Linked DNA regions of Oryzias latipes. The protein of the gene in region 2 interacts with the protein of the main gene of each other region in a pairwise test. Links are inferred from orthologs where the notes say so. Each region holds a gene or a part of one and is shown on either strand. Other genes may lie near its edges.

Evidence for each region.
Region 1: the proteins of cdk1 (region 2) and cdkn3 interact in a two-hybrid assay, tested with the Homo sapiens proteins (2 studies listed by BioGRID and IntAct). The link is inferred for Oryzias latipes from reciprocal best matches to the Homo sapiens genes CDK1 and CDKN3.

What each region holds. Positions count from the first base shown.
Region 1 is NC_019880.2:1,395,423-1,402,569, reverse strand, and holds the start of cdkn3 (cyclin-dependent kinase inhibitor 3), read right to left. Parts: upstream 4,893-7,147; intron 4,828-4,892; coding exon of another isoform or gene 4,786-4,827; exon of another isoform or gene 4,657-4,785; intron 3,823-4,656; exon of another isoform or gene 3,678-3,822; intron 3,651-3,677; exon of another isoform or gene 3,495-3,650; intron 3,246-3,494; 5' UTR 3,243-3,245; coding exon 3,163-3,242; intron 3,092-3,162; coding exon 3,036-3,091; intron 2,950-3,035; coding exon 2,905-2,949; intron 2,011-2,904; coding exon 1,788-2,010; intron 1,393-1,787; coding exon 1,361-1,392; intron 1,287-1,360; coding exon 1,183-1,286; intron 14-1,182; coding exon 1-13. Other genes in the region: uncharacterized protein LOC105356878, read left to right, coding at 4,786-4,827, 4,893-5,212, 5,941-6,062, 6,138-6,258. UniProt on the Homo sapiens protein: May play a role in cell cycle regulation. Dual specificity CC phosphatase active toward substrates containing either phosphotyrosine or phosphoserine residues. Dephosphorylates CDK2 at 'Thr-160' in a cyclin-dependent manner.
Region 2 is NC_019873.2:1,584,175-1,591,321, reverse strand, and holds cdk1 (cyclin-dependent kinase 1), read right to left. Parts: upstream 3,478-7,147; 5' UTR 3,470-3,477; intron 3,430-3,469; exon of another isoform or gene 3,285-3,429; intron 3,121-3,284; 5' UTR 3,115-3,120; coding exon 3,078-3,114; intron 2,789-3,077; coding exon 2,632-2,788; intron 2,199-2,631; coding exon 2,075-2,198; intron 1,792-2,074; coding exon 1,621-1,791; intron 1,552-1,620; coding exon 1,388-1,551; intron 1,275-1,387; coding exon 1,133-1,274; intron 1,029-1,132; exon of another isoform or gene 888-1,028; coding exon 771-887; 3' UTR 675-770; downstream 1-674. Other genes in the region: ctu2 (cytoplasmic tRNA 2-thiolation protein 2), read left to right, coding at 26-84, 374-434. UniProt on the Homo sapiens protein: Plays a key role in the control of the eukaryotic cell cycle by modulating the centrosome cycle as well as mitotic onset; promotes G2-M transition via association with multiple interphase cyclins.

The DNA.
Region 1 (7,147 bases), on a different chromosome or scaffold from region 2:
GAAAGTTGTACTGCTGCAGAAGAAAAAAAGGAATAAAAATCAGGATTCTATTCCTTCATTCCCAGAATCAAAGACTGAAAACCATTTGGAAAAGTCCTGAAGTTCTATCAGACGCATCAAGGGGGCGCTGTTGTCTGAAGGAACAGGACAGGAAAGGTTTTTCTAATCTTTGTTTTTGGAGCTTTAACCATTGTACTATCCTATGGGGTCAAGATGACCATTAGCACTTTAACATTGGGAGTTGGGTCATCTAGACCCACTAGACAGTGCTCTGAACCTTTTTTCTTCAATGATTTGTGATCTTCACTGGTGTCCATGGATTACATGAAATCTTTCCACCTTTATCCACCTTTGTCATGGTAGGGGGAACATGTCAATGTAAGGATCGGGTCATCTGGACCCCATAGGATAGCACAAGGGCTAGTGAGCATCAGTGCTCACTGGTTTTTCGCAGAGACTTCTGGGAAACTTCTAGGGCTCTGCATTTTGGAATTGTAGATTCAGACATCCCTATAAAGTGGCGAAGGCGCTACATGGTAAAGGAATTGGGACACAACCTTCGACTTTTCCAACAGTTTGATTCTCTTCTATGCTGATGATATCCGACTCTACATTTCACGTTTACTTAGTGTCCACTAAACGGGAGGCAGTGTACTTGAATAATAATAATCGGCTGCAGCTCACCGCTCCCCCAGTGGAGGGATGGGTCAAATGCGGAAACGAATTTCCCATTGTGGGATAAATAAAATAAAATAAAATCCTCCTTTTTTATCATTATATTGTAAAATGTCCTCATTTAGTCTAAAAAGAGTATTCACTTTGTCTACTTCCTACAATTAGATGGACTGCAGTAGTATGTTTAATAAAATAAAGTGTAGTACTTTTTAAACTAAGAAGCAGCTTTTAGTTCCTGCCGTTGATGCTTTGAAGCCTCATCTTTAGCTAAAATAGTCAGATTTGACGCATTTCTAAATCCTTTAGATGTTCATATTCTTTATGTTTCTAAACTTTAAACTACAAAAAAGTGTTGACATTTTTTTTGGTTAAACTAATTAATCTTTTGCTTCACTTTAGGTAAAAAGCTGGACACAAACGATTTATTGTTTTATTTATTTCTGCATGAATAAATGTATTTAAGGTCATTTTCTTAGTTTCCTGCAGACAGAAGAGGAGCGTCCTCACCTTCACGGTCTGGATGGCTCCTCTTCCTCGCAGCTCCCTGAGGAGCTTGATGGCGTCGCTCGCCGTCATGGTAACGGAGAGCTGAAGCAGCAAACAAGCTGCGACTGAGGAGGAGAGGACAGCGTGAAGGAGGAGGAGGAGGCGTCCGGACTTCAAAACACAAAGTTTGGCTTCTCACTCAGAGCGGATCGTCCCAGACCTCCAAAGCAGCTGGAACAGAAGAACGGCTGAGGTCATCCGAGGTTCAAACCAGTTTCTGATCTGGAGCCAAAACTGGATTTAAACGGCAGAATTCATGAAGAAAACTGGAAAACTGTGGAAAAGTCTGAATTTGCGCCTCATTTCTGTACATTGTTCAATTCTACTTTAGCTACAAATAAAAAATACTTTTTAAAAACACTAAACATTGGAGAAAGAAGGAATTAGTCTGAGAGAATAAGTCTGGACTGAAGACGAGCAAAAGCAGCTGAGGGTCAAAAATCCTAAAAGATTTGGAAAATTGAATTTCTAAAGAAAACGTTCAGGAAACAGATCTGAGTGGAGCTTTGCTGAGCTACACACTCAGACGTCGCAGCGTTTTCATCGATTGTAGCACGAAGACTCACTGGATCAGCGTCTTCCTGCCGCCCTCCAGGTGGCGCTGCAGCTCGTCCAGGATCCGGCAGCACTGCTCCAGCTCCGGCGCCTCTCCGTCGGGGATGGGCCAGTGCTGCACCGTGAGGCCTCGCCGCTCGTACGCCTCCAGCAGGGTGGGGACTCGGTACCTGCTGAGCTCCCCTCTGGTGCAGAAAACAAGCACATCCTGCACCCCCTGGTTGTGAAGCTCCTCTGAGGAGGAGGAGGAGGTGGAGGAGGGTCAGAGCACAGAGAAGATCAACCGAAGGTCTTTTAGGAACAAACTATGGAAAGAACCAAAGATCTATCTACAACAATCCTGATCCTGATTAGAGCTTCAAACGCATAAAAGGTCAAAGGTTCAAGACAAACAGTAGGAAAAATTAGAGTCAGATTGAGGAGGATTTATAACGTTCTCATGACTGTGAGGCATCAAAGACGTAGCTTCAGACAGAATTAGGAGCTGCTGAAGTCCAGAATGTCACAATCCTGTTCCTCCGATTGTCTGGTGGCGTTCCTCAGGGATCAAAGTCTGGACCTCAGACGTTTTCATTCGTTCAACGTTTCTAAAACTTTGGTTTTGGTTTTATAAATGTCTGAAAGTAAAGAGAATCTGTCCTGAAGTTCCAGGAAACGTCAGTTCCGGATTGGTCAGATGATCACACCTGCCAGCCGCTCGTCAATACGCGACTTTAAAACGTAAACATTTTTCTAATTTGTGTCTCTTTCTTAAGATTTGCCTGTTTTTAGTCGCTCTTCGTCGTTCTCAGGTGAGCTCTCACACCTGCCAAAGGAAGCAAACTCTCAGAGGAAGCGACCTCAAGGTCGCTCTCTAGAATAAAAGCAGATCGGCGGTTTGGAAAACATTTTATCTTAAAAAGATCAGAACAAGAAGAACTTTGAAAAGACGAATAAATTTGCTTTTTTTTTTCCAGAGTTTAGGGTTTGAAACCAAACAGGTTTAAAGTTCAGGTGAAAAACATCTTTTTAACGCGTGGCATGAGTTCAAACCTGCACATCTTTCTAAAGGACATTTCCTACGCGGTTGGAAACATGAAGGATTGTTTGCATTACGAGTCAGAAGAAAACGCCGGTTGTGAGACTCACCAACGTCTCTCTGCAGATCCCTGCGGATGTTTTTGTATTTGCAGCCTGGAATCCAGAGAAAAACAGTAAGTTATTTCCCTCTGCTTATTAACAATGTGAAACAGAACTACACCTGGTGGAATCCTGTTTACCTGGAAGTCCACATATTCCAAGGAACTGTGAAGACTCGACCGCAGACAGAGGTAACCTTAAAGCACAACACAGCTGTGAATGATGGACGGAGGATCTGAACGGATTAAAAAAAATCCCTTTCCATACCAAGAAATGTGCAGAGGAGTCAGATCTTCATCTCCCACATCCTCATCCTCAGATGAAGAGTCAAACTCATTTGTTCTCATTTCCTGAAACAAACACATGAAGAGAAAGTTTGTTAAAATATTACTGATCCAGAATGCTCTATTTTTTTAAAGACAGGTTATTAGTAGTTTAAAAGTGTTTAAATGTGCTGCCAAAGAAACTTCTTTAAAAAACGTACTTGATAATATTTTTCAACCCACGTGAGGACAAATCACAAATGTCTACTTTAGTCATTAAAGTAACTTAAATCAAATAAAATAAACGGATGGGATTGTCTGTAAAGCTAAACTAACCTCATATTCAGCTTCAAATAGAATCAGAAATGGTTTATTTATCAGCTCGTTCTCCTCACCTCGCTGTGTTTTTTTCCTCTTTGGTCTTTTTTGACAGCGATAGTTTGAAAATGGTATCGTCCAATAGGATTGGAGGGTTTATAAACCCCGCCTACTCTGTAAACAAAATGATTAAAGGTGCGTTCGATCCTTTTCCGGAGTTGTCGAGGCGGGCGGCGTGAGGAAAGATAATGATTTGTTCGACGTCGGAAGCAAGAAAAGGTGCGTTTCTTTTTGTCCCGCGTGGGAGCCTGAATGCTGCTAGAGAGGAGCTTTTCATTTGACAAAAGTAAGTATTTTCAGAAGTTTTTTTGAACTTTAAAATGACAAAAAATAGAATAAAAATAAAAAAGAAGCGGCCGTTTACAGTGCCACTCTGTGATGACGTCACTATTCTAATAAACACCAGTCTGTTTATTAATGTTAATCACATGTGACATTAAATTAAAATATTACTGTTTCTATTAATTAAAAAAGACCTTATTAATATCAGATTTATAAAAATAAAATAAATACAGTTATGATTATGAAGACCAGAAAACAGTGACTTTTTATGAAGCAGAATCAATCCTACAAATCATAATTAATGTAATTCATTTTGCACTAAAATGATGTTATTGAGTCCAATAAAGGCTTTTTAATGTCCAAACCTCCGTTTTAAATGTAGAAATATGACATTAGCAGAACATAATTAATTATCTTGTTGAAGTTTTCTTCAAAATCAAACGAGTCCTGATAATGTTGGTCTGCAGCGGGGGGGGGGGTTGTTTTTCTGTGGGGACACGGTCGTGTCACGAATCCTCTGCAGGAACCTGCTGTCCACTCAGAGCAGCAGAGCCGGCCCCCCAGGACCAAACCAGGGTTTTCCCAGCAGACTTTTCTGCTTTTTCTGAACATTTTAGGAGGAAATCTGACAAAACTGATGAGCGTCTTTGAGACGGCGAGTTTGATTATGAGTTCATCATTCATCGGTCAATCCTCGTTAAAATGCAAACACGTTTTCTAGAACATAAATGTAAACGAAAGCGGCAAACTGCACATCCTGCATGGGGGGGGTTGCATGCTGCCCGTCCTTCTGGCTGGTGACTCATAAGGAGGAGTCTCGGCGCTCGTTTCCCTGCAGGTTCAGGGCCGCCGTGCCACTTCCTCAGCAGAGCGCTGCTGGCAGGAGCAACACCTGAGCAGGTAACGGCGCTCAAACAGCAGAAGCCTTTCCGATCAGGACGGCGCCGTTTGTGTCTCTCTGCATATCATGAAGCCTCAGGAGGCCCGCCTCGTCCACGAAATCTCAAAGGTAAGGAGCCCGAGCAAAACAAAGTGCAAACGCGGCAGACGGTCTCTGAATGCCGCCTCTTCCAGCTGCAGAGCGCGGTCGGCGAGCTGAAGGCGGGCTTCGGCAGCGCCCTGCTGGAGCTGGGTCAGATCCAGCACGGAGACCTGTACCTGAGGGAGGAGCTGCAGGAGAGCCGCAGGAGCTGCCGCGACAAGGCTCTTCGCCTGGAGGCGCTGGTGGAGGCGCTGCGGGTGAGACGCTCCGTCCGACGGCCCCCGCTGTGGCGAGGAGGCCAGTCCGGTAACAGATGTGGTCACTTCCAGGAGGAGCTGGAGGCGATGAGGAGTCAGGTCCTGCAGCTGCACAGCAGCAGAGCTCAGCCGGAGGCAAAGAAACAAACACAAAGGTAAAAAAAAACCTTTTTATGAGCTTCATGGATGCTCTGACATCAGGAATCTTCATCGCTCGTTTCTTCAGCCTCACAGATATGGAGTGATATTGATGCCACCAAGTTTCACACTAAACGTTCTAATTCGAAAATATTAAATTTTTGCCTTAAAAACATTTTTTTTACAAATGTTGGCAGCTGTTTCACGCTAAACTGAAAATTATGAGAGCAAAATCAAAAACAGGAAAACAGTGAGATGAGACACAACGCATTTAAAAACAGTGTTGCAAACTAAAAAAAAACCTTTTTAAAGCAAAAAAAAAAATTTTTTTTTTTAAATGTTTGTGAAGGCTACAGAGCCCCTAAAGGGACATTGAAGAAAAAAAACAATTGAAGTGGAACAAAATAAATAAATAAGTAGTTTGCTCCCGTTACTATCTGGTGAGCACCAGTTCGTTTTTTTGTTTGTTTTTACTTCAATTGTTTTTTCTTTCCGTTTATTTTTTTTCCCAATGGCCCTTCAGGGGCTCCGTAGAAACAAAAAACAAAAAGTGAAAGCAAATTTTTAATATTTTCATTTACAACTGAGAAAGTTTTGTTTGCAACGTGGTGCCATAGAAATCACTCCACACCCAGAAACTCCTGCTTTGGAGTCAAACATGAGAAGTTTCATCCAAACGTGTGGAATTGAACCGACAGACCCAGAAATGGCGGCTGACGTTTGACAGTTTCCGTCTGATGTCCAGCTGTGATCCGGCAGGTGAGGACCGCGCAGGTGTGGCCGCGCCTCCCGTCCGCCCCTCCAGAGGGAAACTGCTCCTCCGCTGTTTCCTGCAGGGCCTAAAAGCCGGGCTGAGTGAGGGCACAGGTCAGACCCCCCCCCAAAAAAAAGTGGAATTAAACAAACGTGGGACGGTTTCACCAACATCACCTGCTGTTGCAGACGCTCGACACCAGGTGGCGATGCAGCTGCTGCACTCGGAGTGGGAGTACGTGTCCACGCTGAACCAACTGTACGACCGGTACCGGACCCCCCCGGCCCACCAGCTGATGGGGGAGCCAAAGTGAGTGAAGGGGGGGCATGCATGTGTGTGGTTTAGGGGCGGGGCTAATTTTGCTATTTTTTTTTTTAGTATTTCTCATCTGAAATTGATTGTTTACGTCTGTGATAACCGTGTTTTGTTTATGACTCGATGCCTCCTGATGGAATGCAGTTCTCATATCTATGAGTTTGTAACCAAACAACACGAAGGATTCTAGTAACTGTCAGAACAAAGTCTGTAAAGTCATTACTTCATCTTATTCATAATAGATTACAAAGCAATGGAATCAAACCTCCCTTCTTAGAGGTGATCATTAATGAAACCCTCATAAAAGATGAAAAAACGCAACAATAAATCACTAACTGTAACCTTTAAACAAAACGTCTTCTGGAACTTTAGTACAAACAATAGACGCGACAAAGAAAGCTTTTATTTTCTGTTCATCTAAAACCGAAACATTAAAACATTTCTTTCATCGTTTAAAAACATTCTGGACCGATGTTCATAATTGGCTGTTTTTAATATTCCCTCTCTTCTTTATGGAATCCTGGACCTGGAAGTTTCTGATGTCAATCTTATGATTTTGTGGAAACACTTTTTTATTTATGTACATGGAAACACATCTTTGTTTAGTAGCTTTTTTATTTAGTTTTTCTGATTATTTTAAGTGTCTCAAACAAAAACAAGAAAACTACAGTAATGTATCAAACCTATTGTTATTTTAAATTGTTGCCTTTCCTATTTTTATTTTGTTGGATTTTTGTACGCGCATTTCAAATGTTTGCTCACCCTATCTTGGTTTGAATATGAATTGAAAAAAATCTGAAATAGATTGAAATAATTTAAATGAAATCAGAAACATTACAAAACATTAACAAAACTGCTGTTATCTTGTATTTATGTTTTTGTC
Region 2 (7,147 bases):
TGAAGTGCTTTCTTCATCCTTTCAGTCTTCAGTGGCTCATCTTCCCCAGTACATCCTGACAGAGGCTCAGAGGAGGAAGAGGAGGTGAGGACAAACCTTTATTCCATGTAGTTTTAGGTTTAAGCATCATTTAAGCTTCTGAACAACACAAGACTGCATCAGCAGCTTTTCCTGAAAACAGTGAAGTGTCATTCTTGACCTCTCAGTCATCACTGGATTTTATTCTAAAATAGTCCTGTTTCTGTGAGCAGACCTGCTGGTTTGTCAGTTTTCCACACGAGCTTCACGCTGCAGATGTTCAGACTTACTCCGCTTGAAGGCGGAGCGGTTTGGCCAAGCAGCTTTCAGCTGTTTATTGTTGCCGTTTCTGCAGGTCTCTGATGAAGGACGAGATCAGTGAGTTCCTGCTGGAGGAAGAGGAGGGCAGCAGCTGATCAGACATGAGGAAGAAGACTCCTGGTGGGCAGAGAAGCTTGTTCAGGTGTAGCTCCCTCCAGATCGGTTTTGGGAGACTAAATCAGTTCTTTGTACCTTAGTGGCCTTTTATTAAAATGGTTTTGGTTTCATGTTTCTGCATCTAATGCAGAAATCCAGCAGCCAGAACAAACATCTCAGGTCTTTGGCAGGATTGAAGAGGGTTGCTGACATCAGCAGGGACAAAAGCCACACCCACCAACACTTGATGAAAACCTTTATTCACACATTTTTCTGGAAAATATTTCCAACACAAACACACAAGTATTTACAGAAGAACGGGGGGGCTCAGGCCTTCAGACGCCGTTGATGCAGGCGGCGGGCAGCGTGGACTTGTCCAGGTCATCAAAGTATGGGTGGGTCATGGCCTCACGTGCAGAGATCCTCTTGGGAGGATTGTAGATCAACATTTTCTAAAAACACAAGGAGGGTTACTGAGGAGGAACTGGATGTTCAAAAGTAAAGGTCTGGTTTTGAAGGGTTCTGCTGACCCCCGGTGGTGGTGGAGGGTGTTCTGAGATCATTAAAGAATAAAAAGACTGAAATGTTCCTTAGTTTGGTGCTTTTCTTTGGAGCCCCCGAAGAGATTGCAGCTGACCCCACCCCATGAGAAATGTCCACTTGATCTACTTTATTCATAATCTGAAGAACTTCTCACCGCCAGCAGGTCCAGGCCGTTCTTGTCCAGGTTCTTCACCATGGAGGACAGGCTGCCCTCCTTCCATTTGGGGAAAGTGTTTTTGTAGTCAGGCAGGCTCTCCACATCCGGCCAAACGTCATTGTTGGGGGTCCCCAGAGTCCTGCAGACGGACAATAGAGCCCCTTTACTCTTCAAGACCTGATTTCTCCTTGTAGAATCAGTGTGTGTGTGTGTGTGCGCTGAAAGAAGCTGAATAGTTCTCCCACACGGTACCTAAAGATCCTGAAGAGCTGGTCGATCTCGGAGTCTCCGTGGAACAGGGGCTTCTTGGTGGCGAGTTCAGCAAAGATGGTACCCGTGCTCCACACGTCCACTGGGGTTGAATATCGGGGGGAACCCAGAAGGACCTCAGGAGCTCGATACCACAGAGTCACAACCTGAGAACGAGAAGCTTGGATCAGCTGAGCAGACCTCAGCGTTGGGTTCTGCAGCGGAGCGGTTCCCACCTCGTGGGTGTAGACCCGGACGGGAACACCGAAGGCCCGGGCCAAGCCAAAGTCTGCCAGTTTGATGACGCCCTTGTTATCAATCAGAAGGTTCTGGGGCTTCAGGTCGCGGTGGAGGACCCGCCTTCGGTGACAGAAGTAAATGCCCTCAAGGATCTGATAGAGGTAGCTCTGTAGGGGGGGGCAGAAAAGGGAACAGGCTCAAAGTGGTAGACTGCTAGTTCCACACCAGAACATCCTCACAGACAAGCAGCACAAAGCATCATGGCTGCCTCAGAAGAACTGATGAAGATCTGTGATGTTTGGAGCTGCAGTCCGTGGTTAGTGAGGAACCTGGTGTGTTATCATTCAGAGACCCCCCTCCCCCAGCTGAAACCGGGATGTTCAGCTTAATAGAAAGCGTTTGTCACAACAAAGAGTAGGAAATCTAAAAACGAAGCGCTGAGTGTTTTACCTTGACCAGCATGGGGTCCATGTACTGTCCTGACGGGATGCTATCCAGGTACTTCTTCAGGTCCATGGACAGGAACTCAAAGATCAGGTAGAGGCGAGATTCCTGCATCAGGACATCCAAGAGCCTTTCAGGTGAACACAAAGGTGGAACCATTATTGCACCTCCAAGATCAGCGGAGGGAGTTGAGGGATTCGGCATTAACGCTACTCTGAACATCCCTACAGAAGGACTAAAGAGTTAAAAACCCAAGCAGGACCCCTCTGGAAAGAACATGGAAGCAAGTGGAGGCCTCCCATTACACGTGTGCACGTGTTCAGGTCAGAGTTCATGATCCAACAGTCAGAAAGGGACTTCTGAACAATCATGGATCCACAGGAGAGTTCAAGGAGAAAGAAGTGCTGAACAAGAACAAACATCTGGATTATCCCCAAACGTTCAGATGAGACAAGAGGGACTAAAACCCAGCACCTTTGACCCGGACATCACCTCACTGCATTTTACCTGCAGCGCATGGACATTAATGTCAGGAACCTGTTCAGCGCACACGTGCAGCATACCGGACGACGTTGGGGTGCTTCAGCTCCTGAAGCAGCGACACCTCCCTGACAGCGGTGCTGGGAACTCCCTCCTCCTCACTCTCCAGGCGGATCTTCTTCATGGCCACCACCTGTCCCGTGGACTTGTGCCGGCCTTTGTACACCACCCCGTATGTCCCTGCAGACACCAGAGCAGAGTCAGGGGATGAGGACTCAGACGTCCCAGAACCACTGCAGTCACCCCATCACTCAGATTGTGGTGCAGGGGACCATGATCAGAATGAAGAGCCAGGATCTGAACCAAAGCAAAGCTTGAGACGTCATCCTGGGACATCTCCATATACGGGTGGAGGAACTTTCAAGGACTTCCAAGTTCAGCATCCAGGTGGGCCTCTTTGGTGGGTTTCACCCCCCAAAAAAATCTGGACAACATTTTAGAAAAACAAAAACATTTTTACTCCACCAACCTTCTCCGATTTTCTCTATTTTCACGTAGTCCTCCATCTGTCCCTGAAAGAGAAGACAAATCCTCTCAGCTCGGACTTCTGCAGATGTTCAGACTCCAAACGGTCAGATCCTCCGTTGAGAACCGCTGAACGTTCAGGCCTGAAAACCGTAAAACGAGCAGCTCGACGTTACAGAGACAGAATAAAAACAGTAGGAATCGAACCAACCCCACCGACTTTCACCGGCCAGCTGAGGCCTCTCCAAATCTGAAAACCAGGTTGGGGGAAAACCGAACCGAGCCGTTACCGGAAGGCGCGTGTCCGTCCGCCAACGCGCCTCTCCTCATATCAAAGCGGTACCATTTCATGTCGTGATCTACCGGTTGAAGCCGTTAACGGTTGCCGCTTCTTACCTCCGTGCTGTCGCTGCTCACGCTGCGGATACAAAGCTGACACTCTTTAAAATTGAGCGCAGGACTCGGCTTCAAAACGCACCAATCAGCGCGCTCGACGCTGTTCAAAACAGCTAATCAACGAGCGGGAACGTAGCTGGACGCGCTGACGTCATACAGGTCTCCTGTCTGCGTGCCTGAACGAAAACACATTCTGGATCAGTCTTCCTGTCTCCCCACTAAAGTTTTTTTCCTTTCTCGTTCGTTGGTTTTTAGATTTAGTGCTTGCAGCTTTTTTCGTTTCTGAAACCGTCCCTTTGTTGACTTCCATATTTCAATCTTTCTTTTTTTCCTTTTAAAACCTTTCTTTTTAAATTTTAATTTTTTCCGCTTTTAATAGTTTTTAAAGAATTTTACTTCCTTTTTGTTTTGTATTAAACATTTTTATCTTCACCGTCGTTTTAGTCTTAATCGTTTCCCTGGAAAGCTGTCTCTCGTTGTTACACTCGTCTTCATCCTCTGTTGTTGCTGTTCACCATATCCCTTCAGCTTTCACTGATCTGCAGTCGGTTTGGCAGAGATATGTACACTGAATGGCCTTCCTGACACAATCCTGTATTTACTTTAGGCCGGGACCGACACTTTCTGGCTACATAGTTAGGCAGGAGCCTAACACTGGATGAAGCTCATTGCACCCCATGGGAATCAAACCCGGGTTTCTCATGCACCAGGCCTACATGCAGCCAATGTAGTCATCCAGCTGCTCTTCTGGCCATACTCTGGACTTTGCTTTTTCTCAAAAACTCTCAATTTTTTAAAATGATTTTATTCTTATAACTTAGCAAGAAAATGTGTTTATTTTTTAAATAAATAACATTGAGTTTTCTTTCTAAAACTATTAGAAAGGACACAATAGGTTAAAGAAAACATTATAGATAATGTGCCACCTGGGGCCTGTTTCAGAAAGGAGGTTAAGTGTAAACTCTGAGTGCGTTAACCCTGAAATCAGGGAAACCCTGGGTTTTCTGTTTCAGAATGGGAGGTTTGTTAAACCAGAGAAAGCAGAGTAAGTCAAACCCGTTTCTGAAAGAGAGGTAACTTATACTCTGAGTCAGTGTCCATGGTTACTTACGCTGTGAACCTAACCTGGTGGGGAGCAGGTTTTATTCTCTAAACTCAAGGTTTCTGCCGGTCCCCTCCCCTTTTTAAAGACGAAGCGATATTTTTCGCTTTAACCTTCATTGCCCAAATGTCCGTCACACAGAGACAAGTGACAAGAATGGCTTGTCCTTTTTTGGAGGACCCAATAGACGAGGAGGCTGCATTAATTCGTAGAGAATTACATTTACCTCGTACGAGGATTTTGAGACCTAGACTCGATTTTTTGTCATTTCCCCATACGTTTTTGTTTGAGCGTTACCGTTTTTCATTGCAGTCAATTACATATATACAATGAAAACAACATTAGATATTGCTATGTAGATGTTTCATATGTCAAATATTGTCAACAAAGCCTACATCCATGACATGCTCAAATTTGACCTGATTGAATTATGTTTTTATACTTCATTTTTAGCTGCTGCCGTGTTCTTTTAATTCCTGCAGGATTGCATCTACATGAAAATGAAAACAGGGACATTGAATTAGATTAATGTAACAATTACTTTTTGGAAACACAATTTGCTAGCACTGCTTACTTTCTTAATCCCATATAAACCTATACCACTTGATCAATACAAGGGTAGACAAAAGTTCACTTTTAAAAACACAATTGCATGTATTAATATTAAACTGACCAACGTTTGCAAGAGGGGAAGGTTAACAAAAAAGTCCTCTAAACATTACCGACGTTAAATGCATTTTTTCCCCCAGATTGGTTCTGTACACTATGCAGCATTTCATGCAATTACACCAGGAATAACACTTCAAAAGTACACCTAAATATCACCATTTTTTATTTCACACCTTACGCTATTTAAAAAGTTATTACAGTCAATATTTTATAACAATGATTTAAATGCAAACTTGCGCATTAACTTGAGCAGCTATGTTTTCCCACGCTAACTGTCTCTGTTTTGCAGATGTAGCGGTGTTGCTTTTCTTCTGGAATATGTGCTCATATTCACTGTAACTCTGCAGCAGCATGTCAAGTTCAGCTGGAGAAAAATACGCAGACCTCTTTTTTTCACGGTTGCCATGGTGACTCGTAATATCTGCGCTCCATTGATAATGGCTTCTTATAGTTGCGGTGCGCACGCTTAACTCCGAATCAGTCCACTCAGAGTTGATTGATCTAACTCTGATCAGCTTCTCTGAAACAGGAAACTCAGAGTTGTTAATCTCTCGATAGACCAACTCAGAGTTCAAGTTTAACCTCAGAGTTGGTTGAACCTCCTTTCTGAAACAGGCCCCTGCACATCAACAATCAACATTACAGTCCAGTGGTTTACATTATTTCACTGAATATATAATAACGCCTGTCTCACCCTCCATGGGTGGTTTTTCCTCCAAGCTCGGGTCCTCTACCAGAGGGAGCTTGAGGGTCCTGCGAAGGATCTCAGCTGTTCCTAGCAAAAAACAAAAACAAAAAAAGCTGTTCCTAGCACTGCGCTCTTCTAGACTGAGGGGTCTGAGGTCTTTCCAGGTATCTGTTGTAGCCACTCCTCCAGCTTGGGGGTTACTGCCCCGAGTGCTCCAATTACCACAGGCACCACTGTCACCTTCACTTTCCAGGCTTTCTCCAGTTCTTCTCTGAGTCCCTGGTATTTCTCCAGTTTCTCATGTTCCTTCTTCCTGATGTTCCCATCGCTTGGCACTGCCACATCCACCACAACGGCTTTCCTCTCTTCTTTATCCACCACTACAATGTCTGGTTGGTTCGCCATTACCATCCTATCAGTCTGGATCTGGAAGTCCCACAGGATCTTTGCCCTCTCATTCTATACCACCTTCAGGGGTGTTTCCCATTTTGACCTTGGGGTTTCCAGTTCATATTCTGCACACATGTTCCTGTATATTATTCCAGCCACTTGATTGTGGCGCTCCATGTATGCTTTACCTGCCAGCATCTTACACCCTGAAGTCATGTGCTGGATTGTTTCAGGCGCCTCTTTGCACAGCCTACACCTTGGGTCTTGTCTGGTGTGGAACATCTACACCTTGGGTCTTGTCTGGTGTGGTAGATCTACACCTTGGGTCTTGTCTGGTGTGGAAGATCTACACCTTGGGTCTTGTCTGGTGTGGAAGATCTACACCTTGGGTCTTGTCTGGTGTGGTAGATCTACACCTTGGGTCTTGTTTGGTGTGGTAGATCTACACCTTGGGTCTTGTCTGGTGTGGTAGATCTACACCTTGGGTCTTGTTTGGTGTGGTAGATCTACACCTTGGGTCTTGTCTGGGGTGGTAGATCTACACCTTGGGTCTTGTCTGGTGTGGTAGATCTACACCTTGGGTCTTGTCTGGTGTGGTAGATCTACACCTTGGGTCTTGTCTGGTGTGGTAGATCTGAGCCTCTATGGCTCTGGTGCTCAGGGCTTGTTCCTGGGCCACCAGGATGAGCGCTTCGGTGCTGTCCTGTAGGCCAGCCCTTTCTAGTCATTGGTAGGACTTCTTGATATCAGCCACTTCAGTTATGGTCCGGTGGTACATCCCATGCAGGGGTTTGTCCTCCCATGAGGATCTGTCCTCCAGCACTGTATC